2 linked regions of the Neodiprion lecontei genome follow. The protein of the gene in region 1 binds, or shares a complex with, the protein of each later gene. Links are inferred from orthologs where the notes say so. Each region holds a gene or a part of one and is shown on either strand. Other genes may lie near its edges.

Region 1 (15,493 bases):
GGTTGGACTGCGTGGGCGGTGATGGAATCGGATTCCCGACTTTTGCGGGACAGAGTAAAAGCTCGGAATACGCAGGTAAAAATTTGCAGACACCTACAGGACGCGTGGTTGGCCGAACAAACGATAGTTTCGCACTTTGATCAGAAGACATGGCCGAGACGATTAAAGGGTTATAATTAGTCGGGATTTTTCAAAAACCTATTTTTGTGTCTTAATTTCATTTTCGTAATGTACGTATACTCAAGTATATGCGGAAAAAATTTCATGTCGATCCGACAAGTATTCTCGAAGTTACGCGCAAATTTGCAAAGACGCCCTCGGAGCTTTTGGCAGTGCTTTTGGAACTTTGAATGCGTTCTTCTCAAAACTATGTTTTCAAAGTCGGTGAGCAAGATTTCTCGGAAACGGTTGAACCGATTAGTCTCAAATTTTCACACAAGCTTTATGAATATATTTTTCAGTCCTTGATCGAAGGTTTTTTTATCGCCGGTAAATATTTTCCATTTTATAAGCAACTTGGGGCGAAAATTTTTATGGAAAATCGAAATTTTTTTTTGAGAAGCCACTGTTTTGTTATGAATTAATATTTCGCTTATTCTTTCCATCAAAGACCAGACAATACCTTATATTAACTAGATCTTTTTTGTTTTTACATTTCGGTTGTTCCAGTCCAGAAATTTTCACCGCAAAACGCCTTTTTTCAGAAGTGCTTGCGGAGATCGGCTATAGCAGCTTTAAAAATCACTATTCTTACAAATAAAAAATATCAGAACGAAGTTCAATTTTACCCCAATATGTATATAAATTTTTATATTAATAAATTCAAATGTCTCTTGATAAAAAAACTTCAATAAATCGCTTTTATCGGCCTCCTGATTAGGTATAAACCCTTAAAACAGACAATGGCTCTACGGCGACCGCGAATTGCGTCAGATTGACAAAATTTTAACGATTCGGCGAATAACTTGTGCGAAGTAAAACCACAACGGTTCGAAAAGTTTCTGGATCGCTTCAACCAGATCTCGGAATTTTATCACATATCCAGCTATGCGTGAGGAAAGCTCATTACGTGATTCTGTGGTTACGTAGTTGTACATACAATGAGGTCATTAACTGCTTTGATACTACAGAGAACACGGATAGATGTACGTCTATAAGAATTTGACTGATTTTACAAACTTCATTCTGAATTTCGTCATATTTCAGAGGTTTTTTCGTAGATGATATAAACTGACCTAAAACTCAATCACCTTTTATTAATCAACGAAATAACATCTTCGCGCAGAGTTTATTCCGTGAGTTGAAAATTTTCGAATATATATCGAATTTTAAGACTGTTGAGAATTGTGAATAAATTTAAAAAAAATGGTAGACAATAATCAACGATATAAATACGAGCTCATTATGCGTGGCTTCTTCTTGATTCTCGTTTTCGTTCTAGAGAAGAAGAAAAAGGGTGATGTGAACAAGTTGCATAGGTAAAAAGAGATCGGGAAAAACAATTTATAAGAAAGAAGTTAAAGAAGCATGTCAAGTGCTGAAAAACTTTCTTACCGCAAGTATAATTGAATCGTCGAAGATGAACGGATTCTTCGCATCTCGTTTAGTTCTGAATTCACGTATTAAGTTTGTTTTAATCTACCCTTCGAGGGAAAGAACTGCGTTTATATTGGCTCGCAAATAACTACGTGTTATGGATAAGCGATTCGTCCTATGACCCGGTCAATAAAAGCCCGGATAGTAGGGATTTTGCGATTTGAGCGACGGAAGAAGAATCGCATTCAGAACGGAAATCCTAACATTGTGTCTCGAAATCACCATATTTTTCATAAGATAAAATCTCCGTTTTTTATTGCATTCGTATAATATAAATCAAATCTTTGGTTTGCAAAAACCGTTCGTGAATTTCAAGCTTCGAATTCTCTGCCTTTCAGTTTTTAAATGAAATTTGTCTAAAATCAGTCAAGTCATTCAACGGCTTCAGCACAAACAAAAAGTCCGAGAATCCATCAATTTCGAAATTCTTGATTTCTTTTTCTTTTTCAGTCCGAAGGTCGTCGCACGATTTTTATTCATCGAAACTAATACTTGAAGTACCTACCGATATATGTCGGTATTGATTATAATCGACAAATGACGATTCTAATTGTCCTCTGCAAAAAAAAAAAAGTAAATCCGTTTCGGCGATTTCGGAGGAGATGGTATTTTGATTAAAATAAGGCATCGGTAATTCTAACCTTGTATTTATAATTCCAGTATTTTCGGGTTTTGTTATTTTAAAAGGTCTTCGTAGCTTCCGAATATACATACAACAATTTGATGAATGTCGCACGCATTGTGCGACTATCACGTTAAAAAAATTAATTATAACTATCGTATTCTGGCCAACCAACCTCCAGAACTCTGACGTGCACAACTAATCGACGTGACTCTGATTTGGAACGAATAATTGTTCCGAAGAAGGTGTCAACATTTTACGGACCGGCTCATAATAGCGACGATCGTCGTAAGCATAAAATAATAATCGATGCGTCGATTAATCGAGTCGAAAAAAATAATCGAGCACGACTCGATTGAATCGGTAAAAATTAATCGATTAATCGATTACATCGTATTTTTTTTTTTTTGAAACGGCGCATACGAAACCACAAATTTCGTAAATTTCAGCACGTAGTCTTAATTGCGGTAAAGTTTTTTGATAATTTATAGTTTCATAAAAAATATTTTTCAATTTCAGGTGAAAATATTCACTTATCTTTCACTTACTATATCAAACAGGTACTTGATAAGTAATACTTAGAATAATAATTGATACTCTAATCACATTAATTGATATCGAATCGCACCGTCCGTGGGAGTAAAAAGAAACAAAAAACGATTGTGACGAAAAATAATCGATGATAATCGATTAATCGGGAGAAAATAATGGATTTTATCGAAAATCGATTATTTTGTTGTAATTCTTAGCTCGTGCATTGATACCACAATTATTGCAGCCTGCAGGGCTGCCTGGAGACCTTCATCCGTCAGACTGGATAAGCGACAGGCAAACCCAGACGTGATCCAAGGTCGAGGCGTTTTACGAACACAAACAGTGCCAGACTTGGGGTGCAGATGCAGGGCAGAATCCCGTCTTGCTTAGTTTCGTCTCAAATTTCACATGGAAACATCTCCAAACGCGTCTCGATCCATTCTCTCTCATATATACGCATTCGATTTTTCTTTCCTTCTTTCTTTCTTCCTTCGTCTGCATTTTCCGTCGCTTTTTTTTCCAAACGGGTTAAACCGCAGCTTGTTTCTCATCGCTATGATTAATCTTTCCGTTTTACTCTGACGATCGCGGTCAATTGCGTGGTTTTAAACGGAGTCCTAGGGATGTGGTGAAAAAAAAGTCCTATCCGAGGCGACCGATCGTCAGCTGATTCGATTTTGCTCTCCTTTTCTTTATTACGGATTCCGACGTTTCTTTTATTTTTTTTTTTTTTTCTAATTTAAAAAATTTTTTTTTTTCAATTCCCCTTTTTCCCCGGAACTCTTTTCCTTTTCACTTAATTCATCCCCGTATTTTATGTCCTGTTCGGTTGACGACCGAGGAGGCGGGATGTGACAGTGTGCAGCGCAGGGTTAAATGACGGATGTAATTCGGCTAATTGAAAAGTTAATTATAAGAGTTGGACCGGTGACAATAATTGGGACCTGGATTAGGTGCCCCCCCCCCTCCGCCACCTACTTTCTTGGATCACCGAAACTGGCCGAATAATATGCCATTCGAGTCGAATCGCTGTACGTGCGAATCGCGAATATAAAAATCCATACCTGTACACACACACACACATATATATATATATATATATTTATATATATACATACATAACGCAAATATCTATATGTAGACTCCGAAAAACGATCTAATTGAATTAAACTCGAATTATCGCAAATGTATAATTCCAGGCCGCATATTTTCTCTCTCCTTCTTCGTTCTTATCTCCTATCTTTTTTTTTTTTTTATCTAATTACACCGCCAAAATGTGGTTCGATTACACAGGCCTGCGACGGTTTTCTACCCCTAGAAAATTGAGTAGTAATTTCTGTAGGTATTAGGCACGAATCTATGAAAAAGATATTCAATAAATTCTATCACGTAAATTTTGTTACATTTCTTTTCTGTATTCTTCGTACTACTAGAGTTCGCTTCCAATTTCTGTGGCAATTATATGTATTAATGGTAATGTTGGTATTTAAATATTTATCAACCCTCAGTTGCTGTTTATGAGGACGTTAAGCATATTTAGATCAAGGTAAGTACAAGAGAAAAAGATTGAACAGGAATTTTGAAGAAAGTAGAAAAAGATGTCACAAGTCTCTTAAGTGTTGTTTAAAACTAATGCCATTAATTTTATACTTAAAAAGTTTTACATTTGATATATTTTTTTTTTTTTATAAACATTGTTCAAAAATTTATAAATATGCGTATCTTGCATAAGAATAAATCTCGATACGGTGTAAAAAAAACTTTCGCTACATTTTAATTCAGCATATCTAAATACCTAGAAAAAAGCATTATTACTATTCGGGAGATATTAAAAGTTCTATTCCGCAGGCCTGTTATCTTACCGTTGATTACGAAAAAGCTACGCTTGATGGAACCTTATTTTAGCGAACGAAACTTCAACGGTATAGGATATTTCGAGGAACGAAATATGAGAGCGAACTCTTTTTCTTACCTATTTTATATTTGAAATCGGTATTGATTACACGCAGACTAAGATCGAAAATAAAACCATAAATAAGCAGCTCAATTCCTCAATTTCCAAATATCATCGTTCACGATCTTCAAGATTCTTAAAATAGCATAAAATCAGATGAAAATATCGGATCCAGATGAACGAATTATGCAATAACACTGCGAAATACTTAATGAGGAAGACCAGATGTGGCGTGTATGCGATATGCTATCACGTCTCTGAGTCGAGTAATTTCCGTGGGCCAATTTTCTGCCCATCATGGAAAGTGTCAAATTTTGACGATCCGTCGTATTTCGGGCAAATTAATTAAGGTACATTATTAGGTATCAGACGAAGAAGAAACCTACGCTGCCTACGAGTTAACATGACACCAACCGAGCGACATACTTCCAATCGAGGTAAAAGTACTGCTAAACAAATTGCGGTTCACAACAATCAGTTGTGAACCGCGTTCTCCGCAAAGGTATCGTTTCAATACCGTCGGTTTTAGGTACTGGGCACATGTTGATACAGATGTTCACGGCTGCCACGCAATAGGCGTCTCCATGTTGTTTGGGAGGTAAATCCCGAGCTACCTGTCAATCGACCTCGATATCCAGAGGTTCACCAGAAATGCCGGACGCACGTGCTACGATGCACGCGAGAATAAGACTTCCCCATTCCTTCTGTTCCTACATGATTTTCCGGGTGGGGGTAGAGATTCACAGAGATCCATAAAATTCAAGGGTCATAGGGCCAAGATTTATTTTTATTTATAGTATTTTTCAAATCCATAATGTCGAAATGTGAAAAGATCAAAGTACAGAACCAAACCACGATGCAGAAACGTCAGAATGACTTGGAATACAGCAGAATTTTCTGCACATACTTCGAAATCATTGTACAAAATAGATTTTCGCGTTTTAGAGAAACCGATGCGGTAATCTTTCTGATTTCTAACATTTTTATCCCCACCTTGCTTTTCCGTTCTCATTAAGTAGAAGGTAACCACGCGTCGCAACGATCTTTCATCTCCGAACTATCATCGCGAACTTGTTTCGACGCTTTGTCAGTGTCTCCGGGAATTTTCGCACTTTGCTACTTCCGGTCGGAGACCAGGGCTGATCCATCAGCGACAGCCGCAGGATGATCGGATGAAGGAAGCCTTAATTCTGTTCAAACTCGAGGGTGCGTCGAACTTGATGCAGTCCGAGACGTAGAAACGGATACCCCTGAGTGTGTTACACTTCAATTGCTACGACGGATAATCCGAGTTCTAGACTGTATGTGTCGATACCCTTCACGTTACCGTCGCGGCTCGTACAACGGAGGCCATTTGCAGACGTGTAATCGCAACAAGGATTTCTGCGATTCCCAAATCACAATCGCTCGGATCCGTCATCGATAAAACGAAAGCACGTGTGATCGATAGCCCCGCAGATGTAACCGCATCGTTATCGTCCGACCTAATAAGCGGCCCAGTTACCTCCTTCCCCTTTCCTCCTATTTTCTATCGTACGATTATATTTTTAGTTCCTTTTCGTCGTGATATATTGTAAAGTGATTATACAGCGGGAATTGCGATACGGTTACGTTAAAAGAAATGGTGCGGATACTCGTACTATTCAATTCTTCATTTTCTCAATCGGTTTCAACCTGTTTCCAACATCTCTTTGCCTGCACTTTCGGATGGAAATAGAGCGAGACGAGTACTTGGTGGGTGATCGATTATCAAGCTCTGGTATTTAACCGATACCTGTGTATGCGCAATTTGACAAATTTGAAAGAACAATTTATTATCCATACGGATATGGTTCTCAGGAACGAAATGTGATTGAATGAAAACGTTGACTGTCGGGTTTAAGAAGGACCCGGCACTTTTCGAGGTAAATCGTGGGGAGGGAAATACAGTATAAAACTGATTATCGATTTTCTAAAACCAGACTTACAATTCTTGTAGAATCATCGCGATGACGGTATATATACCTATATACACATACATCCATCAAGTTCTATATCGATGAGAAACGTGTGTAATGAACTCACCTCTTCGAAGGATGCCGAAGCGAAGGAAGCGGCGAGTAGCACTGCGAGAAGAGCACTCCTGAGTAAAACACTGCCGTTGGTGGTCATCTCGAAAGGGCGAATTACCGATCGCCGAAAAGCGAACGGTTCGACAGCCTGGTCAAAGGTGTTATTTCTGTTTTTTTTTTTTTTATATCTATTACCGCGACAGCAGTACGAAAAACCGTCGATGGAAACCCGCGCGATGATTTCGAACCGTCAGTCGAAACTTTTCAGCGACAACGGTTCATGGTTGACGTATTTTCCTGTTTACTGGTCGTTCCTTCGTAACCGTTTTCAAATTTACCGCGCCTCCTAATCTACCCGCCGTCTCTACCTTCTCTCTCTCTCTCTCTCTCTCTCCACCCAGCTCCGTAACAACCCCGCGAATTTTTCGCTGCAGACCTGATCGAATCCGACTCCTTAGAACGAATCTCTCTACCGCAGACGCTGCTCGTCGTCACGCTCTGCAGCTTCAACGATCACACCACACCGTACCGGCGTTGGGTAGCGTCTGAGAGCCGTGCGCGCCGGCTAAGATAAAACATTTTCAAAAGCCCCGTGTGGTGGTTCCCTCTCCACCCGTTTCGCCTCCCCCCCCCCCCCCCCTTGCGGCGAACCGCCGAGGTTCAGGTTCGGCTGTGGCGCCCCCTCCTTCGTCCATCCCCCCTCCCCCCCCCCCCCCCCCTTCCTGCGCCACCTCGCAAGCATCGCTTTTCGCTCCAGGAGCCGCCCCGCCGCTCCGTTCGGCAGCCGCACACTCGACGACGCGACGGTCCGATCCGATCTGTTCTGAACGCTCGGTGCGCGCGTTGCCGGTTCAGCCGGTTACCGGTCAAGGTGCCGGACGATCCTCTTCTGTCCGGACCAGTTTACGCCAAACGGTTTAGCACCGACTCAACGGGTTCGTTACCCTTCGATCGTTCGATTTTCGCAACGTTGCGACGGATTGAATATCGAGATTTTTTGGAAACGCTTTCACGGAGCATTCAACAAATTGTTACGTTCGTAAGCTGCGATGCTGGGTATTCTAGAAATTCAACGAGCAAAAAGTTGCTGAAATTATGAGACACAATTTCGATATCGATTTTATGAAAAATGTTTTAGACTTGTTCAATTTCACGACCTGATGATTTTTTTTTTTTTTTTTGTTCTCGCCCTTTGAAAAGTCGTTACTTAGAAATTTTCCGAAGTGGATTTCTTTTTTGTTTTTTCTTTTTTCGATGAATGTCCAATTTTTAATTGCTACTTGTTGAGCCGAATCGATGTCAGATCGGTATTGCGGAATTACATGTTTTACGGTACCAACGTGATAAGGAAGCAAAAACTGTCACAGTGGGATTGTAGCGAAAATTGATTTCAGGATAAAATCACTCGTCACATGCAGAGTGAAATCGAAAGAATACACAAAAATTTTCGGTATCTTGAGGCAATTCGATGTAAAAAATGGTTACCTGTCCTCTCTTTTGAAAATTATGTTTTACTTCTTCGAAAAAATCACCGTAGTTCACGAATGTGTTAATTTGATAAACACGCAACGTGCGACCAATTCGTAATGAAATTATCAGCAAGTACTGCGGATATTTAACTGTGGAACCTGCTTAAAATCACTATTTCAAAATTCATATCGGAATAGATTCCAGCATTCCGTTTCGGAAATGGATATCTTTGGATTCACACGTGTGATTTACGCCCACCAATCTTGATCCACCTATAAATTGTCATCAATTGTCAAGTTTTATAAATCATCGTCGATTATCTATTCATCTTTGAACTGCGCCGTGAACTATTTCAAGTGTCAAGCTCTGAATGTCTCAAATTTATAACTGTGCAAAATAATAAAAAATAAAAAAAGATCAAATATAAACTATAACTATAAATCGCCGCTCAATCGAGGCGATAAAATGTTCGTGAAGGTTCAATCGTAGAGTACCACTATAAAAATAACTGCAAGAGCAATACGCAAACTTCGGGAATTGTTTCCGAATTAATGACAATTGTAGAGTTTGGAACGATAGTCTGACCGCTATTTTAATCCGCTTACCATTATTCATACATTTATTTATTTACTTCTTCATCTCGATGGAATGCCACTCTGTATAGTGAAATCGTATAGATGATATTCATAGATATATCGCCATGTGTATTATACAGAAGCTGGCTGCCGCATTGAACGGCGAGCGTGAAAACCTATACGGCAGGCATTTAATCACCTACTTGACTGTGGGGCTAATATTAGGTATAACGTACATAGTTTTACCAGTGCGTCAGACTCGCCTAAGAATCGCGAATATAAGGTACGCGGACCACCGCGGACGCGAGGATTCCGCGCGTGCGGAATAGCGATTTTTTTCACTATACTTTATCACACATTGGAGTTGAGACCGAAACCGCGCTCGAAACACGCGCCAAAACTCTAGGCAGACATGAACCAACTTCACAGCTATCGATGGTTGTTATCTGAACCGCCATATTGGATTTAGGCGCTGATATATGGGGATTGTATGAATTTTCGAAAACATCCCATACAGTCAATTTCCACTTCAGTCACCTCGACTAGTACAGAAACCTTTTTCATGTACCGTAGAATCCATCTCAACTTTGTTTGCAATAAATCAATGTGCAGAAGCCGTTGAAATCTTAACCGAAACGTGAGCTAGCGTTCGCTTTGTGGCAAAACATATTTTACAGATTTGATAATAATTCAATGATCAGCAATCAAGTCTAATTTGACGAGCTTCGATCTGTATTAATTGTTAGGTGTATAAATGATAAATAATTTAACGTCTAAGGTAACGATACCGAAAACCGGTTACGAAAACACGAGCGCGTTGTATCTATAACCTCAAATTTAACGACATTATACTCACATTCCGTTAATTTGTTAGGAGAAAATTAAAAAGGCTTTCGAGAGATGAATGTATGAATACAAGCTCATAAAAATAGGGCAAAAAGTGAGAACCTAGCCAGACAAATATATATATTAGTACTTTTTGATCGTCTGATCGATTTCGCTACTTCATTGTTGACGTACAGTTGATAAGTTCATCCGTATTCCAAATTTAGAGTGTATCTCACTTTTCGCGTATATCACAATTAAAAATGTGTCGTAAAGATATTTAAAAAAAACTTATTGCCTAATGGAAAGGTTACGAATACATAATTGTATGTTCCGATTTCATTGGGTCATAGAGAATTCAGAGCTTAAGAACCGAGGGGAGTGAGACACGAAGTTTACGATTACGTCTAGACAAGTTTATTGGCCAGATTTGTAACTTGGGCATTATCTTTACTTAAAAATATGCATACACGCGCAAAATACACTGGTGAGTAATAATTAAAAATTATGCAAAAACTATATCTATTCACCTCTATATTTGAATATATGCACGGTAACACCTACCGGCATTTTTCACCGACCGATATTCGTACGACGGGTTGTAAAACGACGAGCGAGATAATCCAGTAGAAAAATGTATAATTAAACAAGCTATGAACATGATAAAAATGTATCTTTATTTCTTGGACCTTGACCCTCGAATTACGGTGTTGTGCAACCAAAGTTACAACTATCTGCTACAAACATGATACATGATATAACGAAAGAAGAAGAATCATTTACAGATTCGACGAAAAATACTAAAATCGCGTTTTTTTTTTATCTTTCATACTGTTCTATGCTAAAAAGAATTAGCTAATTAACAGGAAAATTATACCAATGATGTAACGTTCGTTATTTGTATGAATTTTATGAAAAAATTTACACCGATGTTAACGATGCGAAACACATTAAACTTCATTTTAGTCTAATTAGGAATTAAATTGTGAAACTAATTTACCAGCTTCTGTTCGTCGCTGCTACCGCTGCTGCTACTGCAGTTTCTGGCGCATATGCAAATTTTCAATTGAGATACTTTTCAAACTGTTTATGCGCGTGTATGTATACACTAATTTGCACAATTAACATCGAGAGACGCGCCGTCCTGCACTTTTATTACATACAATTAAACCCGGTGGAAACATCTTTGCTCTTATTTCGGGTCATACGCGTCGGGCAAAGAACTGCACTTTAGTGCATGTGCGCCATCGAACGTTGCACATTGATAATTGGATGACGTATGCGTCATGCCACCGTCTAATTGTTTGCTCATTCGCTCCTTAATTCGGAACTTTGACATTGCGGTTAAAGGGCTCACTCAGTTGTTCCACTCCCCTTTGACAGAAATGGTCTCGCGACGCTCCGACTTTCGGGAATTATCTTCGAGTACTTAACCCAATTCTTGATCGACGAGAATTCTTCTTTATAACCACGCTCGCGCATTCATAGTTCTTAGACAAGTTTCAAATTTCCCGCGGCTCGTCGAGAACGATCCGCGAGTCGCTAGTGCTGAATGACGTTACGACAACGGCGCGAAACTCAAATTTGAGCAGGTACAAATAGGCGGAAACTCTGTGTTTGAGAGCCTTTGTAAGCGGGCAAGGGATCCTGGTCTTTACAGAACCGTGTCACGACCTGACGACTCGCATTATTGAGTTTTACAGCGACGAATCGTAAAGTGCGGGAACATGGACGCGAGAAATGATCTAACCGTTGTCGAATAATACTCAACTGGTTCATTACTCGCGTGCATTAAACACGCGTGCATCACCATATGCCCAAGACGCAGGTCTGAAATTATGTTGCCATTGCATAGATATATTTTGTCACACACGACGCTTAAATCGTTGCGTTGGACCGTTCGATGTGTTTATTACACATCCCCAGCCCCGGATTAGCTCGCGTCATAATCGAGATTTATCGTTGACATTTTCGATAGTGTCAACCATTTTTACGACTTTGACACGGAGTCAAGGCTCCTAATTCTTTCGCAGCCTCGTTCTTACATATACGAAGCTTTTAAAATTTAGGGTTACGGTCGTGTTTCTAGGCCCAGTCGCCGCTCCGCTTTCCTCTCTCCACCCGTCTCCATGACTCACTAATTCTTACTTTTATTTCCTCTGTTTCTCGCGTACCTCGCACGTTTAATATTTGCAAAAAATCCACACCGGACGTGCGAGCCAATCGATAATATTTCTCCGGGTGATAAATCTCAGGTGAACAAATATACAAGAATAAACCGTTTCGTATATACATAGATTATGAACAATTAGCGGAGGCCTAGTTACCGGACGTAAAGCACAAAGCGAGAACAGAAAGAAATTTGTGTATTTTTGAAGGAAAAATTTATTTCACTCTGCGTACAAGAAAAGAACTAAGTACCTCGGAAATTATGCCATCACCCATGTGTCATGAATACGAATTGTTTATTTGAAGTTTCAGAAACTACACGTGCAGATGAATGTAGCATCTTTTTTCTGTCCATTCGCAATTAACACGGTATATGTATTACAAACTTTCAGATTACAATAACGTATTTTATTGTACGGAATGAAAATTTTGCCCGAGAATACAAGTTCGAACATAATTTATTGGCATTTTTTTCTTTCGTATAAAAGTAAGTACAGATCGTGTAGAAAAAACGTGAAAATATACAAGCGCGAATCACAACGCTCATTTATAAATGTAAAATGTCAAGTATTCTTTTTTTTTTTTATTCTTCTCCCTCAGCAATAGTTACAGGAACATTGTACACATCGAGGTACAAACCACCGAATGGTATAAGAAGATCCCGTCGAAATTTCCATTTGCGTACGTTGCGCAACAGATGCAAATTATTTGCCGCCAAATATAGATGCGGCCCAAAGTCCTTATGGAACCTGGTATGAATTACAGAGAGGGAATTGGCCATGATGTTAATGATAAAGTTCGAGTCTTACAGAGACTGCGAGTGTCTGTCCTCAATACATGCATGCATCACACGCTTGTGGCTCACATTAGCTTCTCTTTTGCATACACAACGATCAGCTCGTCTTTTTACTCTCCTTCTTTAATCTCTTCTCTCTCTCTCTCTCTCTCTCTCTCTCTCTCTCTCTCTCTCAAGCCGAGACGTCGCGCCCGCGTCGTTGTGCCTTTTATTTAGTCTGCCCTGCACGCAAAGGCTGTAACCGAGGTTCTCAGAACTTACACTGCGCCATGCCATTCGTCTCGACATGCATTAACATACATACGCATTGGAAATCTGCAACACGTATTCCCCGGCATGTGGCCGCCGTCTGCAACGTGCAAACTTCAAACCTGACCCGAATCACTTCACACGTGTGCGGTGGGTTTGGGTCTCTCCTCCTGATTCGTCATCTCCGGATAATTTTGTCCGTCAAGATGGGCCCTCGATCCTTCAAACAATCGAATTTTGAAGCGATTTCGAAGAATACCGGAAGAAAATTTATTAATATGGCGTTTCAACCGTTACATAACTATCCGTGCAATTTTTACATCGAAACCATGCCTAACTCGAAATTTTATAACTCGTTTAAACCTCTTAGTCCTTTATTCGTTTATTGTTGAGATATGCCGACTCGAATCTAGGTATCATTTACACCCTGCAGATTCCCGCAACTCAGGTTGACTCAATAGAACCACGAAGTTCTAAATATTCTAAATCATAGTTGAACACAAGAAAAGAAAATTTCATGGACTAATTCAGGAGTAAGCCAAGAATATTGCAGCCGAAGCTTCTGAGGGTCAAACGAGTCTCAATTTTTTTGGTTCACCTTAGAATCTCCAATATCGAAATCGAGATTTTTGCCCAGTCTTTGAAGTTCAATAATGAGATCCGAAAATTCGTCTTGGGTAACCGTTGCAAAAAATTCTGCCATTTCGCTCTACAAAGAATATTTGCGAGAGAACTGAAATACGGAAACGCGACGTGACATCTTTACAGGAAAAAAACTGTAAACGTCGAAGAACAGAGCAATCTGGCATTGTACGCGCCGATTAGAAGGACTGCGAAGCATAACTTTGCAGACTTTTCCGGTCAACGTTCCGAGTATAGGCGGTGCCGCTGAACGTAAAGTTTTGCCACTCCGACCGTTCGTTCAAATGAAAATACACGAAACGTGAAGAGGAAGAGAGAAGAGTAGAGCAGTAAGTAGGTCGTGTTTTGAGGATCTCTTATGGCCGGGTATTCTGATCATGTTACACGTAACCATGCAGAGTTCCTCATTCCCTCTATTAGCTCGTCCATACAGAAACCTTCATTGAACCGCTGCCGTGGAAAAGCAAATACGCGCGAAATATCGGACATTAATTCTCTCAAATTTTTTAGATCCCCTTCCGATATCGTAGGAATAAAATTCGAGAACAGAAAGATTTTGGAATGAACTCAACGAAGGCATCGCCATCAAAATGCTTCGTCTATGATCAGAGAATCTTATTGTTAGTCGTGTAATAAAGAAAATGAAGCAGGAGTACATAATTCGTATTCTACAAGTTCATTAGTGGAACAGCAGGCTAGTCGAATAACACGTCATTTGATATTTCCGCCACCTTTTATAGCGGCAACGATGTGCATCTGCATCTTCCTGGCGCTGCAGTATTCCTGGTACGTATGTACCCGTATAATATATATTATAAATGAGGTATGTCCGCATCATTCGACACCGGATTCAAATGTCACTGTTATTTCCCGCAAAATATTTCAGGCATTTTACGAAGCAATGACTGGGCCGCGTTACGGCAGCGACAGTTTTACTTCTGTGCCAAATAACTTGCGTGAAACTAAATCTGCGTGTTCATCGCAGTGTGTCTTATCCGTGATCCATTTGTGGTTCAGGTTTTAAAAATACAAGCATCTTTCAAACTCAAGGGATTCCCCGGGCTTAAAACTCGATAGTAGGTATCTGCTCCAACGATGAGTCAGTATCCTGTGCGATTGTCGAACCAGGGCTAGTTTTGTCCAATCTACCTTACCGATTGAAGATCAGAGCTGGCGATACCGACGGCAGCGCAACGCCGCGGCCGATAAAAAAGCCGCCAAATTCAACTTGCCGTTTAAGTCACGGTCTTCATCGCCTGGATAAAAACCGGAAATCAGTAACCTGCCGCGTTTGTTTGGCCGTTTAAATACCTAACCGAGCATTGCTGCATAACCGTCATTGTTGAAGAAATATTCAGGTACTGTATTCATTAAGTTATCTCATGGAATTTGAATTTTCAACTAGGATTAGATGATCGAGTTTCAGTTCTTTCGTTGTACGTTTCATCGTCATCATGTTCCGTTTGAAACTGCTACTTATTCCTCGTTAAGCTTTTTGGCTGATGAAAATTCTGGTCAATCTGTTCGCACCAAATTTTTGAACAGCATATCCTAAAAGATTTTTCAACGTCGACCACTTAGACTCAAAGCTCGAACTTCGGATCCTTGGGAATTAATGCATGGCAACTACCCAACTATAGGTATGCATGAAAACCACAACGGATTCTGACTTCCCCCAAGGAATGGGTTTGCTGCTTTGATGTACCGTGGAAAATTCATCAGGGGTTATGAAGCGGGGAGAGAGTGAACCTTCACGAGTGTAAAACATTTATATTCACCCGTAAATAAATCTTCGTCATCTTTTTTTATGTACTTTGCTGGTTTCGTTTTATTCCTCAGGATTTTCAAAAATTTGTCAAAGTCAAGTTAAGCCAAGTTACGCACACTATTCAAACGTAAACATCACACCTATCCAGATTTCTGAGCATCTAGCGTTTCAGAGAAATTTATTTGCAATGCTTAACTAATTGTTTTTCTGCCAAATTAAGCAACTAAGAACGTCGTGTTTCA
Region 2 (17,874 bases), on another chromosome or scaffold:
TTTGTAATTTATTGTGTAATTTTTTATGCCATTAAAATATATGAGAGATCACACAATATGTAAGTTACAAAAATACGAATCAACAGATATACTGGACCAAAAATCATAATACATCCCACTACACAGTTGATGATTCGTACCTTTGTAATCTGTTATGTAATTTCTTATATATTTTATCGAATTTATGAGATAAATCATGTAATAAATTACATGCTGAACTCTTTCAAAACATTTTATGATTCAACATATGACCATTTTCACGTGGGGAATTGCGGACCTTTTCTTTTATATTTTTACACTTGTATGCCGACACAGCTCAAGATTCGTGCACGTATCACGAAACGCTGGCTGACTAATATTTATTGAGCGTCACTAAAAGCAAATATACACACAGTACATGTATTACACAAGCATGCAGCCAGGTGTCGTGAAATGCTAATAATCAATACCAGCCGCTTTTTTGAAAAAAAAAAAACGAAATAATAATGGTATCGACTTACCGTTGTCTCATACAATGAAGCTTTCCAAGGGTCGAATATATTGAACAACGTTTGTCTGCAAAATTTCAAATGGCAATAGATTGTTCATTAATGAATTAACTCGAACTTTGATCATTGATGAATATCTTCTACCGCCTACTAGCCAATTCGAAATGAAGTTCGTCATTAACGGTGTGAGTGACGCAAGGTGTATGAAAAGAAATGACATGTTTGCTTAATCGTAGTAATTTTTTTGCGCACCTCGTAAATCAACATTTTCGCCGGTAGGCGATGTGTAACATGCAGGATGAGTATGCGCGGCTTTGCGGTCATACAGCAGCTTGATGTAATTCCCTGTTTAAAAGTCTCTACTAAAAATAGTCGGTTGGCAACAAGTATAAGCACCACCTAGAATTATTCTGAATTTACACAGCGATTATGTGAACCAACACTGACAAGTGGTGGTTTCGTGCAACTTATTGTTGGATCAGCAGAATGATACTTGCAAAATTAGACTTTCTAATGAATGACAAATTTTTATAGACTTGTTGGATCCTGAAACGCCTGATCGATTAATTGTGGGCGTTAATTTTCTTGAAAACGAAGACACGCATTCCAAATAAAAATTCAACCATAACGTCTAATTCATAAAGAGATTAGTGACATTTGCATTTATATCTACTGTTGTAGTCAGGAATAACTTACACCTGCAGCCATCGCAGAATCTTAATCAAAACACTGTATCATTATATCATCCATACTAATCATATAAATCTCTTCCATGAGCTTATAATACCAAACATTAATACACTTTATCCGTTGAAAGTGGTCTTGAAATTTTTCGAGGAATGAATAACTGCTCCGAACTATAAAATTGACTGCCAAAATTTTGTTTCGTTGTACAAACGATAAATATATTACCTCGTTACGTGATTGCCAAATCCATATTGGGATCAGATACACTTTATAGTGATTATATATTTTCAATGATTAATATAATCAACTTTTACACGGTCTTGAGTAAATTACATTAGGAAAATTTTCATTTCTTATAGCTGCTAGAAAATCCTGGTGAAATTTGTACGCTTTGAATATCATTGGAATTACAAGAAACTGGCGATATAAGTATAACTATTTAGTGTGATTATAGTTGTAAATATTACATATTTTGGTTAATGCAATAATAATTCTGCTCCGTTAGTTTACCATATATTAGTCATTCAAAGAACATTTTAACATTAATTTATTCTTGCACACTAACTTCAAATTATCGGAGTTGTTACAAGAAAATATTGTACGAGTGCCACAATCAAAAAAAAATACTAGTACATACTGGCTTTGCTAGTCACGTCTATCAAACTCATTTTCATTCTACACCCAGGGCCGTACCGACAACGTCATTGCGTATGGCGGCAAAATTTGAACATGTGTACAAATTTTTAAGAAAACACTTTTTTCAGAACAAAAAATGAAATGGCCCGAAAACAATCAGTAAAATTTTTAATCCAGAAAGGGGAAAGATCCCATACAACTCCGTAAAAATCCAACAAGTGAATAAGCCCGAGTGCTATAATCTTTCTTAGATCAACATCAACTTTCTGGAGCCTTAAGTGGGTCTTGAGTAAAAATATGTAATAACTGAACGGAGGGAAACGATAATTCAAGTCAAGTAATATTTGCTTGATTCAACTAATCCTTAAGTCAAATACGGCGAACACAATACTTCTTTAATTCAACAAAATATTTTTGTCGGGCGAAATACATATGAGAACATAATATAGAATCGAATCAAGCCGCCTTTGAATGATCATGTTGACGATCATTTTAGTCAAGATAGCACGGCGTGAGTTCCTTGCGATTATGAGAACTTTGTATCAACAAAATGTGTATTTGAAATAACTCAAAATTTTATCCGACGCACCTTAACGGCTGGGCTTCCGACTCTTATTAGAGCCAGGCCATCCTATTGAATAAGTTAATAGTTTTAACTCGATAGATTGACGTGTGCGTAGATGTTTAACTATGATCAGATGCGCCTTATACATATATATTTCTTAAATGTTATTATTAATCACAATTCCAGCGTCTCAACACCTTGCTAATAGATGCTGTATTTCATTCGTTACATCTTTATCGACAGTATTATCTCGCGTCATCCCCGAATCTGCTAAGCGGACTACCCGACTTTATAAATATCTCTGAAGCTATTTCCGTAGCGAGAAAGTTCACCGCCTAGCGGACGTTAATAGTACTAGCATACCGATAATTACGCCGAATATACTCTCTACCTGTTTCAAGCATGTGGTTTTTCTTTTACCTCGTAAATAAATTAGTGCAACTGATTCAACCAGTTACGCCAAACAAGCTTCGGTTAGATAAGAAAGAATGGCATTTAATCGATGTAAATTTTTGTTAGCTAGATTCATGCATTTATTTTACTTGAAGTATATTTACCTAACCTAACCCAATTGTTTCTGTCAACGGACATGCGACTTAGAGGAAAAATACATCAACTTCGAATGCAATGGTATTTAGTTGATCCAATTAGGAAAACACATCAAAAAGTTCACTCGAATCAATAGTTCACTCTATTGCGACAAGAAAGGCTTCAGTTGAATCAAGAAATTCGCTTGACTAAATCATTTTAACCAACTAACTAAATTGAAATTGTTGAAGTCATCGTATTTGGAACAAATAAGGGATATCGGATTGAAGTGAATCAGCTCCAACAAAATCTAGTTTTCTGCTTCAAGAATTCCTTTGCTTTCCTGTAGTTCCGTTAGTAATGAGGCTGAAATCGATCTCACATAATTTCAACTACTCGCTAATGTCGTGGATAATTTAATTTCAAATTAAACAGCTAAGTTATCTCAATCTCTTTTTTTTTCAATACCTTCAGTCCACTGTAATATACAACGAAAATTTCTTATAATGGATTCATAATTTCACTGTCATAAATTTCAAATTCACAATATATTGACAATGATTTTAGTTGGAAAATTTAAATATGGGGCATGCATGCCAACTCAATATGCGATTGAAACTGACCACTTTTGATTTCACCAATTATTATCTTTCTCTCTGAATGCGGATCACTTATAAGTATACCACTGGCGAAAGTCAGTGTATATGCACTGGAAATTAGTGGAATATCAGTGAAAATTTGTAATTGATTGCAGTTTTATTTTTGTTAAATCCCGAAACAAAAACTCACTGTAACGGAAAAAATGGGCAACCTACTTCAATGCGCCTTCTGGAAAAAATGTATCGTGGAATTCGTTAACAAATTGATTTTCTTGGTAGTCGTAAAATTTCTTCTATCGCGATAACAAGTGACTATACTATACTTACGATTCGAGAACTATTACTGCACTGATTATGTCGACAGCCTTGATCTCGTCAGTCTTCAATATCAGGCAATTCAGTAAGCAAGTATTTAATAGTATTCAAGTGCCAGGCTATTGAATATGCAGTGTATGTCAATTTACAGACTGTCTGCAGCGTACGTCACAATATAAGAAGAAGGGTGTTGTCCTTGAGGATGTATAGAAAGTAATTATACTATACACAACATCGATCAAATAGCAGCTGAGTATGCCGAATTGAATATCACAGCAAATGAAAGCGAATTGAATGTAAAAGTGAAACAATTTGACATAAGAAGGGATACTTAAAAAAAAAATTTTTTTAATCTTTCCATACTTGTCAACATTCGCTTTGACCCTAAATCTTTCAAGTTTTGAATCATTCAATTCCTTCTAGCTTTTTTCGATATATCACTAATATCACCTTCATACGATGATAAAGATTAGAAAATACTGAAACTGAAATAATTGTAACAAAAATATCGTTCAACTACATTTCATACAGATAAATGATTATGAAACTGAATTGATGCTCACCCAATTTCAAATAATGTGAATACGTCGTACAAGCTGAATATAATATATTTTTCCTGGTCAATGAATTTGGTCTCAACTTAAGTTAATGTCAATTGAATGATCAGTCTGACGAGAGAAATAATTGAAACACATTATTCTATAAATGACCCGTCTTTTCATTGCACTCAATCCTATAATTATAGTCAATTAAATTTGAATTCACGCGATTACAACTTATACCACACAAGAAATGTAATTGACATCAGAAAAGTAATTCGTTTAAAAGCCAATCTAGAGACAATCGCGTTTTATATTTATCGAGAATAACCATTAATCCTGTCAATTAAAAATTCTTTGGTCGAAATAAGTTTATCCGAATAGATTGTACGTTCAGCTTATGTAAGAAACAAAAATCAAGTGCAAATGGGATTTCTTATGCTCATGAATTAACAGTAATTATATAAGTTGTGTAATAAATGTTTCAGTTGTCAAAAGATATCGCTTTATCATTCACAGTTTCGTTGCACCGTTTTTTGAATTCACAATATCGCTGTGATTGACAGTAATACAAGATTCTTACAACGGCAGGTGAACTTGAGGTGATAAGAGGTTTCTGGAAAGTTGAACTTGAATTTTTTGTTAATCTCCAATAAAGAAAAATGCCTGTTCCACACTAATCCATATTATTTTCCCTCATTTACATTACCTATCCAAGAAATGGAGGCCACATTATAAACAATCCTCGGATATCAAACAATCTTTAGCAGTAAGATATTCTGCGTTTTCAATTATTAGCAAGCAATGTCTCGTAATTAACTAGAAATTTTGCAGGACTTCGTTTTAGGACATATCGAAATTTATGGGAACAACTATAAATTGATTAGAATGAACTGTTTTTTACGCAAAAGTTGATAGGTATTTGATATTGTGACATTGGTGGATGTATATAAAACTACGTAATTAATAAAAAAACATATTGTAACAAGGACAGACCATGCGTATTGCATAATTAGTATTAAGTATAAGGTATTTTACGGCAGGAATGAAATAGTTGAGACACTTTGTATTAGACCTGTTTCTTGATAAGACGTGATCGATAAAACATGGTTTGCATCCAACCGAATTTGCAGACCGTATTGAAACTCAATGTATGATTTAGTTGAGATTTATTTATTTTTTGGCGAATTGTAAATAATGAAACTTGAACATAAATTGACAAGATCGTTAGACTTAAAAATACACATTGTTTTAATCTCTAGCGTTAAAAATTGCGAAAAGAAATGTCAAGGACAATTACAGAGTATTGCAGATGTTTCCTTGTGGCAAGCACAATGCAGGTCAAGACAAGCATTTAATTCTACAATTTTTTTTTTTTTTTTTCTTCACTAAGAAGCGGACATCGACAAATAAATATAAATATATTTATGCATATAAATATTCAACATTTGAAGAATTATATATGTATAGGTGTATATAAAACAGTGTAGAACGCAACTCAGACCTTCGGTAGAATATTAAAAAATCAAACATTGATAATTTGTACAAAGGCATCAACGATAAAGCTTTCAACTCCAGCTTACAAGTATCCATTACGGGTATATAAAGTGAAAATGTATAATACAAATATATAATATGTATACTAATGAATAATATACTGAGAGTATTCGGTGAAACATACTGGTTCAACAAATATTCATGGTTCAAGTCTATGATAATAAACATTGGATAAGTTGGAAGAATCATGGAGGCAGGAGTTTTGTATAGTATACATAGATTCTATCAAAAATATTACAGTTATTTCAAATATTCAAGGCACCAATGTGAACATGCAATGTGAATGCAAATTATTATTATTATTATTAAGTCAAGTGAAAAAGTTATACGATGTTATATATATTACGTTAGATTGTATTAAAAGAATGCAGCAGTTTGGTGCTTGTTACGACGTATACATACATGCATGTGTGTATATAAAATAAGAACATTAAATGAACACAATGTGGTTTCTTGTAACCCATCAGCGTTTCATCTTATCAAGAATAGGCACGACCATATCAAACGAGGGACGTTTACCAGGATCTTCGTTCATGCATATGCGAATCAGCTTCGCAAGATGAGGAGAAATCCCTGGTGGAATACTGACGCGCAGGTCTTCCATAGCGATCTGGAATAGATAAGATTTCGACTCGTTAAGGCAAGTTTGTCATACGGAAGCTGGAATTGCAGTAACTGCATCCGACCTTCATGCCGCATTCCATGGGGGAAAGATCAGCGAACGGTACTTCTCTGGTTGCCAATTCCCAGAGCAGGACTGCAAAGCTCCACATATCGCTGGCCTCGAGATTAATGTCAGAAGGTTTTTTATTCAATGCTTCCGGAGACATCCAAGCGGGTTCGTAAATTCTTCCAACTTCTTGGAATGAAAACTTAGAATCAGCCATGTTTACTCTTGCAGTGAGATCCTCGTCTATCTGGAAATCATGAGAAACATGCTCACTTCTCAGGATTCATGAAACAATTCAATATTTTAATACAGAGTAGCACCAGAAATCGGACTGTTTAATTTTTTTTAATTTTCCTGATTTAATGAGCCTATTTTCTCCGGCTTCCTTGCCATTTTTGCGCCATTAATACCCAATATCATGATTCAAAAATGCTCATATGCTGTTCAAGGTACCTTTTAGAGAATCGTGTGTAATATTAAGTAATTGTTACATCAAAGTGAAAATCGAAAAATTATTCGATTTATTGCAATCGTATTGATATCCAATTTGTCGTCAATTATTATTACAAAATAACTGAAAATATTCTGAAAAACAAAAAGAAATATCTTCCCAATATTTCCCTGCAAAATTTTTAGATTTTATGTCGCCACCCTGTAACGGTGTCTTTCAATGAAACCTAGTTGCAAGATCAGATAACGTACTACGCAGTGTTTTTTTAATTTTTGCTTCCCCTGCTTACCATGACATGTTTACTGTTAAGATGAAATCTACATCTGCTCTGCCTTTCAAGCCCGTGCAGAAAAGCCATGGCCCGCACAACGTCCAATGCTAATCTGAGCGCCCTAGCTGTATCGACAACGACGCCAGTTCCTCCATGTAAAAGTCGATGTAAACTGCCTCTGGCCATGTATTGAGAGACGGTCGCGAGTTGTGGAGGCTGGTTAACGCAGCCAAGAACTGGGAGAATGTTGGGATGAGAAAAAATTCGGAGTTTGGGAAATTCCTCATTGAAGTCCCTTGATATTCTAGAGGTGCATTCTCTGAGGTTTAGTATTTTTGCCACGATATCGTTGTTCTGCCACCGTCCTCTCCAGGTTTCACCGCTCGGACTACTCGCCAAGTGAGTATGTAGCGATAAGTCCGCCATATTGATTCCTTTGTGTCTTGACAAAGTTGCATCCCCTGCGAAAACATGGATTTTCTCATCTGTTTTACTGCAATAGCGAGGAAATGTGAACGATCGCAAGAAACTTTCATTTAGAAAAATCGACCATATCCACGTCAAAAGGCATTTTTTGTTATGTAAATAATGGAAGAGTGCAGAAAATAGAGCTGAGAAGAAGTTAAAAAATTAAAGAGTAAATCTCAAATTAACTTGACGCAGATTAAGAAAAGATACTGACCATTACTAATATCACAAGCATATAAAGGTACAATATTAACAGAGTCGATTGTTTCGAGCCTTTCTTTAATCCACGCCTTGAATCATTGACTTAGTTATTTTGATACTCACTGCTCCTGGTTTTCAATCCAAGCCAACTTTGATCCTTGAAATGAATCTTTTTCAAGTCCTGTCCGTATTCAACGGCGAGATCTGAAAAAACGAAGTACATTTTCTTCATTACTAGGTATTATGTATAACATTTTACAATAATAAAGAAGAGAAAGTATATCCCATTACCATGCAATCTTTTTGCCAGAGGTCCTCTAGCCTTGTCCAGCGGAGTATCACCGTCTTTGTTGGCGATGGAAACCAAAGCTCCAGCGGCTACCAATTCCTCCGCCACCGCCTGATCACCCCAGAAGCAAGCATAATGCAAAGCGGTGTTTCCGTGTTCGTTGGTCACATTGACATCGGCACGATTTCTCAGCAGCTATAAAAAAGAAGAGAATTGCAATTAAAAAAATTTCTCAATTTCACCGATACATATTTTCATTGGCTTTAAGAGCAAATTTTATCTAGCTGATCTATGATAAAGATTTGCAAAAAACTATTGACCCGATCTTTGTTGTTTGAACACAGTTTTTAATTTCGAGACTATTGGGGTGTAACTTTTCAGATGCTCTCCTTATAATAATACAAAGGAGTACGACAAATATCGAATACTAACCAACTGAACAATGTCCTTATGCCCGTGTGCTGAAGCAAGGTGGAGTGGCGTGTCGTCTCCTCTATTCGTTGCATTGATGCGAGCTCCTCGCATCACGAGCAATTCAGCCAACTTTGAATGGCCTTCCTTGCTGCACCAATGCAGCGGGCTAAAGCCGTGATCATCCCTGATGAAAATTAAAACAAATGGAAACAAGAGTTGAATTATATGAATGTTTGAATATTCACTGTTAGTTGGAAATGTAATATTTAAAATAATGCACTGTCCTCAAATTTACATGAACATGAGTCATATTTCTGATTTGTATAATGCCTACCTTTCGGCTATAATCAAGAGCAATAACGTAAACAAATTTCTTGTTGTCGATGTCAAGAAAATCGTCACTGCATATAATATTTGCTTACAATATCAACAGGGTATCACCAAATTTACGAAATGTTGAACTGGTTTTTCCGACCCACGGCGCATTAAATTATACGAGAAAAGGAAGGCAAGACATGAAAATCAAACATTATTCTTTTCGGAAGCAAGTTCGTTTATCAAAGGAGAAAAAGAGTAAAAAAAATTCAATAAGTCAGGTCAGTACAATTTTTTTCTTCACAATTTATATTGTGATTATGATTCAAACATTATTTTAAAAGAATAATCATTTATTTTTTCATGTAGATAAAAGTGACATTCATTTTCTTGTTGACAAAACTGATTTTACAAATTAAAAAGTAAAGTGAACAAGTCGATCATTGTTGTGCAGACAAGAGGAAACTTTGACAAACATTTCTTCACCAATTTTGGCACTCTGTGACAATTGTTCTTTCATTATTTTATCAAATTCCAGTAACATATTTACAGAGGTAAGAGACTGAGGGTAGTCAAATTAGCAATATAAATTCTGTAATTCTGGAATGAATTCAAAAAAAGTAGTTAGCAAAATATGCGTATGTTTCACTATATCACAAATTACTGAAAATTTCAGACATAATAATGTTGGGTCTTCCAAGTACAACGCATATGCATTATGTTTTACACAGTGTAGTAATACGGATGGGTGACATTGGTTTCCTGCTAAGGAAAAAAACATAACAAGATTGTGGTAGAGTTTTGATAAGAAATTTCTCGTACAAAAAATATTATACATTGATGTATCAAAAGATTCGTTATTACAGAGCTTTCATAATTTTGTCCTGCATCATGTAGCGATTATTCCGATTCCTGCAATAATTTGGAAACTAGTGACAAGAGTTTTAAAAAGTGCTGAAAACACGTCAAGATCAGCTGATTGCGAAACTGCAGCGGACTTCCCAGCGTTCAACCATAAATGGTAATGAGCAACTCCCATGATCTTACCCTTGGTTCATGTCATGTTCGGTGTCATCGAGCCAGACGCGAACTTGCATCGCGTTTCCTTCACGGCACCAGTGAAATATATCCTCCATTGTTAAAGGGGTTTATAACAATTAATTAACGCTCTCTAAAAATAATATAGCTGGCCGACTCCGTCACGTCCGAAAAAGAGCAACTTCGGTCACGCTCTAAATATAACCATATTTATACGCACGTATATCAATGATTGTAATAAACTGCAATTAGCTACTGGACACACCAAACGTATAACTCGACGATTTTAACTCTGGGATGAGAATTTATGAATCGTTAACACTGTCGATCGTATTTCTAACTCCATCGGCACACACCCAAATATTGTGTAACTCTTTACGCTGACATCTCTAATTATAAATCACCGTGTGCGATCGTGCGATGTCGCATGCGGGATCATATCGCTGCTTCCCAGATTCATTCGTCTCAAGCTTCTATGAATTGTCTCTAGATGGCACTGCCATGATCGACATTCCGATTTAGCCATTGGCTAAAGAACGCTCATGATGGCCAGCTCAATAGGGCATTTTGAAGAAGCGAAAGGGTGCGGAAGTAACGGCAATGCCCTACGCTTACCGACTGCTTATGCCTGGTCTACACGAAGGTTAGAAAGTCTTGTTAGCCATCAAACGGAGTAACGAGAAGAACTTAAAAACTGTCAGTTAGTGTTTATAACCTCAGTAATACAATATATGAAGCAATATAATGCAATGTTCTCCGCAATTTTATTCATTAATTAATAATCACTTACCTATCTTTTATTTTTCATTTTTTGAATAGCTTATAATCAACATATCTCTCATCTGTAATTCGAAACTCATTTTGTTTGTTGTAAACTCTGGTGATACTTGAACATGGATTATATTTTCATATCAATAATTGTTCAAGTAATAAATATGTACCAAACTTGGTTACGGCAAAATGCCGACCGAGGAAAAGAACAAAGCACAAAGAACGGGTTCAAACCACGCGAGATTTTAATCTGTCATTTCGGTACGATTGGCACTACTTCTCGTTGAAAATTGAGCTTAAAGTGGAATTCAGAAAATCTTTGAGTGGAAGGCGCTTGAAGTTCATATAAACTCGGCTACACATCAGCTTTAATGGAGGCGCACTTTAAGACCCCCACTTACAGCGTATGTGTAGACCAGGCATTACGGAAATGCAGCGTTTATTTGTCGACACGGACCACAGCAACGACACTGAAACCTACACCTGCTATCCTACACGGCCTACACGGCACAAAGGAGCAGCGAGCCCATGGAGACTAGAGTAAAGGAGTCCGAACGCATATGGCGGAATCGTCGAAAAGTGGTTCGTGAAAGTGATGAAAAATCTTGTAGACGGGATGTATCCGCAAGCGATACCAGCGCCTGGTTACGAATAGGATACATACGTAGGATCGACGATTCAAAATCACCGCGCTGACGGAGCCTGCAGTGGTAGCGCTGCCAGGCGGTTACAATCCGCGGATCGTTCATCACTTTCACCGATCATTTGGCTAGCATTGCGTTCAGACTTCTTACCTCTAGTCTCCATGAGCGAGCCGAAAGAGATAGCGTCATAATATGTCACTGATATATATATACACAATATGTAGCTTCATCTCTATCTTACGGCATTGCGCATGCGCTCGTGACGGTATCGTAAAGCATCTGCAAAAAGTTAGGCTAACACCGGCACCACGGTGTAAGAATGATATGGAATAATAGGTGGTACGGCTGCGGCTCGGCGACTGTGATTTCGAAGTTGGTTAAGTGTGCTTACAAAATTGTGCTTTTCCGAGTATCTTATTGCATTAACGTTATGAATTTCAAGCTGCTAAAACTTGCGTTTTCATCAACCTACATAATTTTCTCTTTTCACGCTTATGCTTTAGATCGTTTCGAGTACGAATTTTCACCCATTGTGGTATTCTCATAGTTATGTAGTAATGCATGATATATGATACAATTTCATCCTTGTGTTATTCGCAAGGAAATGAAAATCTGTACTTCTGTATCATATCAGACACAGTAGGTTCATATACAGATTGATTCTCAGATTCTATGTGCTTACAGAAGTATTTCTCAATTGCTAATGAAAGAGATAACAGAAATATATTGCCATGAATTGAACCACCTCTGGTTTTCATATTAATCGATTCTTCTTCGCCAAGAGTATCATTTTCTTTAACTGACTGAAAGGCTTTGTGACATACTTGACACTCATTTTGCTTTCTCAATTTGGGGTACAAAAACCCAGTCACGTGATATATTTTGCAATTGACAACCAAAGCTGCCACATAATCATGGTCAGTCTTTATATATCCCATAAACTATGATATATTCTCAGTCAACGCACACAGGCCTGGGAACTCTGCTATTTTTAAGTGGTGGAGATTGTTATCGTAGTGTGACCAAACTGTTTTCCTTGTTTGCCCACTAATTGCGCTGTCGTACCAGAGTATTGTAGATACAGATATATAGCGGGGCAGAAATTGGAGCATTTGGTGGAGAAAAAAGCGACTGGTTGAGGACAAGGAATGGGAGTGATGCGTGGAAACACTATGCCAGACGGGTAACAATAACGATCGACTATGGGAATGAATTACCCTTGGCTCAAGGGATCAAATTCGAGTGAACTGTGAAAAAATCAAACCATAATTTATGCAGGTAGAAATAACAATGAAACAAAACAAAAGAACTACAACACTATTTCTGTACAAATTTATTAAATCTTCCATTATGCTTACACATAGAAATTGATTAGTGAGGATGAGTGTCTTTTCATGTTGTTTACCTAATCCAATTCAAGTCTTATAAAATCGACTTGGACATCAATGGAAGTATTTTTGTGAAACTTGTACGCTCCAGGAAGATCGTATCGTAATTCAGCGACGATTTTTGCCGTTGTTCCAAGGCGTTTTGCAGTCCTAACCACATGATCCCGGGTGCTAGTCTTGTGGAGAGAGTAGACGGCATGTCAAGCAATACTAACTGTTGTCTCCAAAAAGTTGACGTCCGTTCTAACATTGCGTTTTGAGCCAAAAGGCAGATTCATCACAACTGGGGTCACAGTGAACTGCCTCGACATCAGTTTCTAACTCAAGGCAATTAGTTTTGAGCATGGACAGCGCATCGGCATCAATTTCAAATCCGACGACATGACTAGTGCCAAGAAGTCGGGCCCCGAGTGATAGTACCCCACACCCTGCACCCAAGTGAGCAATAGCCTTTCCTCCTATATCGTCAAAGTGTGTGTATGCTGTGTGCAGGATGTGCGCCCCGATGTGAGCGCTCGTGGAATATTGTTCAAGACGAATTTTTGGCTCTTCAAATCCATCTAATTGTTGAAGACACTCTTCCAGCTCTCTGAATCGCATGGGTACCATTATAGTCACAATAACCATTCTTGTATATGCCTGATAGTAGTTCACTGGATCTCAAACCTCGGGAATACTGGCAGGATCAAGTTACCAAAGGCCGAGTCCTGGGCGACGAAGAACCCAGTAGAGGCTTCATGTGCGTTCTGAAGGGCTGCACTTTGAGAAGCACTCAATGCTATACCATCCACCGTTGTTGCAGGATTCTGCTGATAGTGTAAAATATTTAAAGTGCGATAGTGTTGCGATCCACGTGAATTCAAACCACAGTGTAACAATAATAGGTGGTCGGGCTGCCCTATCCCCGCAATGCCAAGTGCTTGTGATTATTTTAGCATAATTCGTTGCACGCCCACCAGATGGTTACAGATCTGTAGGACCATTGTAAACAATAATGGCAAAACGCAGTGTTCAAAACAAATCAATAACACGATATTTATAAACTATGAGAAAAAAAACATTATTTAAATATGGGCAGGAGTCATGTTTGTCATCAACGTGCGCAAGACGAGTGTAGGGAAGATATATCTTTTTTCACCGTTCCCAAAGCAATCGAAATATGTAATAAATGGAGAGATACAATTGCTCTTACTGGGATAGTTATAAAAAGGACTCAATATGTTTGCCAAAAACATTTCAACCCCGATCAAATACTTCTGTGAGCACATAGAATCTGAGAATTCCTTTGTATATGAACCTACTGTGTCTGATATGATACAGAATTACAGCTTTTCATTTCCTAGCGAACAACACAAGGATGAAATTGTATCATATATCATGCATTACTACATAACTATGAGAATACCACAATGGGTGAAAATTCGTACTCGAAACGATCTAAAGCATAAGCGTGAAAAGAGAAAATTATGTAGGTTGATGAAAACGTAAGTTTTAGCAGCTTGAAATTCATAACGTTAATGCAATAAGATACACGGAAAAAGCACAATTTTGTGACTCAAATATTGTTATAATTGCAAAATAAGCAGGACACAATGTCTTAATCAACTTGGAAAATTATGTAGTGCAGTTTACTGTTTTTGAAAGGTTCGAACCCTCAAAGTTGAAATTTGTTTTCGATTATTCTGTTGCGTCAACGTTACGAACCTTAACCTCATAGGTTTATTATGACTTATATTTATTTTGTATTGCTTTATGTTTCACATATTTTATAACTTGTTATTATTTTTGGTATTTTATGTTTTCAACTGCAACTTCTGCTCATATTTTTGTAAATATGACACGCTCATCTCATGATTAACCTAAAATTACCCTCCTCTCTTTCGAACACCACATGCCGCCATCATTGTTTACAGTGGTCTTACTGACCCATATCCGTCTGGTGGAGAAGTACAGAATTATGCAAAAATAATCACAGCCGGGCCACCTATTATTCCTACACCGTGATTCAAACAAACAAAACATAACCTAACCTCACTTCAACCAACCTAATCTTATCCGAAACTAAAGGATTCGTTTGACGGACGTACCTCAGTCGCAGCAGGAGTAGCGGGTGATACGTCAAGCGGAGTCAAAGAAGTTCCAAGAGTAGGCGTAACGCCCTGCTTCAAAAGTAGCTGCTTCTTCAACTGTATTTCTTCCAGTATTTTTCTGTTTTCTAGTTCTGGGAAAAAACAATAGGCATACGTGGAGTCGCGATAATTTTTGGGACTTTCAATTTACACATAACCATGTATGAAGTATCTCACATCCTTACCTCTAGAATTTGGTTGCGAAAAAGCCATTTGATAGGGACGTCAAACTTCAGCAGCCGAACGCTTTAACGTAATATCACACGAGACACGTCCAACTCCTACGAATTCTTAGCCACAACTAGTGTGAAATCAGATGGCGGCGGCCCAACCAGTGTACTGATAATTGGCTGCGACTGTAGCGCTAAAAAGCGTGCCGTGGTTGAAAGCAGTACTAAACTCTGAGCAGTTTCCAGGCCATCGACTATGCAATCCCAGCATGAAGGCCTTCGAAAAGTGTCCCACAGAAGGAATGAGGTGGGGGTCAACTGCTTTCTCTCTCTGTCATATTGCTACGGTCCTGAATAGAAAGAGACAGAGATTGACCGCCACCAGTGGCTATCTCTTTCTACCAGCTGGCCGTTTTCTACTGGCCTAAGCGTAGTCCATACTGTCGATATGCCAGGACCTGGGTTAAGGAGGGAAACCGGTTTATGAGGTCAAAATTTTGCTGTTTTTCATGATTTTTTTTAACCAGGAAGGAATAATCACAAATTGTTTAAACTTGGAGGATATTTTATTTATGTTTTCAAGTACACTTTAAAATTTTTTCAAACGATTTCCGCCGGAAATAGTGGAGTTACCGCGTGCAGTCCATGGGCGATTGCCATCCGAGCATTTGGCTGGCGTACATCCCTGACGTCGCAATTTTTATCTGTAATCATCAGGATTTTTTTTTTCATTAAAAACATATTTTCTAGAAATATGAACCTAGTTTTGATCAAACAAATTAAAAATTGCATGTTTTTGAGGTGTTTGAACACAATGTCATGTTTTTATACTATATTTTTTCATCTTTCTTGCATAAAAACATATATTTTTAATAACAATCTAATCCCCGAATTTGGTTCATGTTACGTGGAATTGAATAAAGAATATCTGCACCAAATTTCAGAACGATTGATCAATAAATTTTTGAGCTAGAATGTACGCTAGTCGAAAAAAAGTCGTTTCGAGAAAAACGCGTTTGAAATAAAATGTAGCGAAAACGAGAAATTCAAGGCAGTAATTAATTATAAAAAATGATCACCGGTTAATCAGCTATTCCAGCACCATATAGCAATCCCTCTTCTTGCTCATATGCGTCATTCTATTATTCGATAGCACAGCGGTATTGAGACAGGTAGCTGGAAAAGAAGGGCCTGGGCGACCGCTCCGTTATAATTACCGTGCGCTTCTTCACAGAACCGACGGGTGGTCACTTAAGTGCTCATTGCATTCGAACTAATGAGAATTTTGCTTTGAAATTTTGACCACATATTCTTGAATAGTTATACTAACGATTCATGCAATAAAAAAAAAGACGATTTTTCGATCGGTCTAATCTGGTTTCCCCCCTTAAGACCGCGATCAGCTATCAAAGATGAAGGGATGTCTGTAACGATCATAGACTTAACGATGTAATTACGTATTTATACTAATAGAATCACTGCAAATACGTTCACTTGAATTATATGTGAAAAACCAAAATACAGCTTGTAACGTAGTCTAAAGGTAACACCACTGCCCCTCAGAGCGAAACCCGGTAAGGTCAAGCTTGGAATGTTGCTCAAGCGTTATTAGCGTGATCTGCTAGTGTCTCTTGAACAGCCAGTCGTATCTCATCCTCTGCTCTAATCAGTCTTGTATATGCGAATATAAAATGAAGACGCCGCTCTCGTTCCTCTACATGTACCTGCCTACATTTATTTCTCCGGTCCACTACATTATACAGCTGCTTTGCAAATAATGATAACAATCAAAAAATAACAACAATAATATCCTTGGCACGCGACTACTGAAATAGCGTTGACTGAGGTATATATCCTAAGTCAACCCTGACTTCCTGCTTGAAACCGTTGAAACTCGAAAAAGAAAAGAAACAAATAGCCTGAAATATCTAAGTAGCTATTCGCTAGTGTCCCCTCTCGGAATTTCGGATGCGTGACTCCAGTTCTGCCACTCTTTTGCAAATATTACTCGATCTCGGAAACCCCGTAATTTTGGTTTCGCTCGGGGTTCCGGGAGCTACTTGTAACGGGCATCAAAAATGCCAGGTTACAGTACATATGTTTAATACGTAACTCGTACCGTTAACCGGAGTTATGTATCTTCAATCACGCTCATACCTTCATTGCGAACCGAAATGCAGCTTGACATACAAAAATGATTTCCACAACTTACGTTAGATTTCCATGGCTTTTTAAAAGCACAGTTTATTTGCATTGGAAAACCCAGACCATTCTACACAAAAATACTACTTGTAAATATTTTTTGGAAATAAGGTAACACTCGATTGTTACTAATGTTTGAGTCCATGCTGTAGCAAGCCCCGATGAACCTCAGGCAATCATTATCACAAAAGTAATAAAAAACAAATTTAAAGACGATCAAGGTTACTTTTTACAACTTCTACTCATATTACCTGGTAAGATTACGACTCTGTCCGCTGATCCTAAACGCAAGATTGTTCACAAATTTATTACCAAATGGCCCAGATTATAATTGCCCATATCTGTCCGCTTTATTATACATTTATGGCAGTGCCCGTGTTGATTATTAGGATTTTCGAGTTTGAGAATATAATACATATACCCGACAAAGTCGATACTATTTTACCTGCAAGTTCTGCACTTTGCCGATGACCCCTAATAATAATAATATTAGGGATGTGCTGGATAGCGGTTTGGCCGGATATCCGGCCATAAAATAT

What was found.
Region 2: basement membrane-specific heparan sulfate proteoglycan core protein (region 1) and integrin-linked protein kinase share a complex: the UniProt entries of both Caenorhabditis elegans proteins name them as parts of the integrin containing attachment complex. The link is inferred for Neodiprion lecontei from reciprocal best matches to the Caenorhabditis elegans genes unc-52 and pat-4.

What each region holds. Positions count from the first base shown.
Region 1 is NC_060263.1:40,494,792-40,510,284, forward strand, and holds the start of basement membrane-specific heparan sulfate proteoglycan core protein, read right to left. Parts: upstream 7,309-15,493; 5' UTR 6,858-7,308; coding exon 6,771-6,857; intron 1-6,770. UniProt on the Caenorhabditis elegans protein: Component of an integrin containing attachment complex, which is required for muscle development and maintenance. Probable structural role in myofilament assembly and/or attachment of the myofilament lattice to the cell membrane.
Region 2 is NC_060266.1:7,819,727-7,837,600, forward strand, and holds integrin-linked protein kinase, read right to left. Parts: upstream 10,501-17,874; 5' UTR 10,130-10,500; coding exon 10,041-10,129; intron 8,863-10,040; coding exon 8,697-8,862; intron 8,460-8,696; coding exon 8,267-8,459; intron 8,180-8,266; coding exon 8,099-8,179; intron 7,768-8,098; coding exon 7,325-7,767; intron 6,832-7,324; coding exon 6,601-6,831; intron 6,525-6,600; coding exon 6,378-6,524; 3' UTR 5,510-6,377; downstream 1-5,509. Other genes in the region: rRNA N6-adenosine-methyltransferase METTL5-like, read right to left, coding at 13,078-13,461; SOSS complex subunit C homolog, read right to left, coding at 13,485-13,643, 14,922-15,055, 15,149-15,176. UniProt on the Caenorhabditis elegans protein: Probable pseudokinase that acts as an adapter protein. Component of an integrin containing attachment complex, which is required for muscle development and maintenance.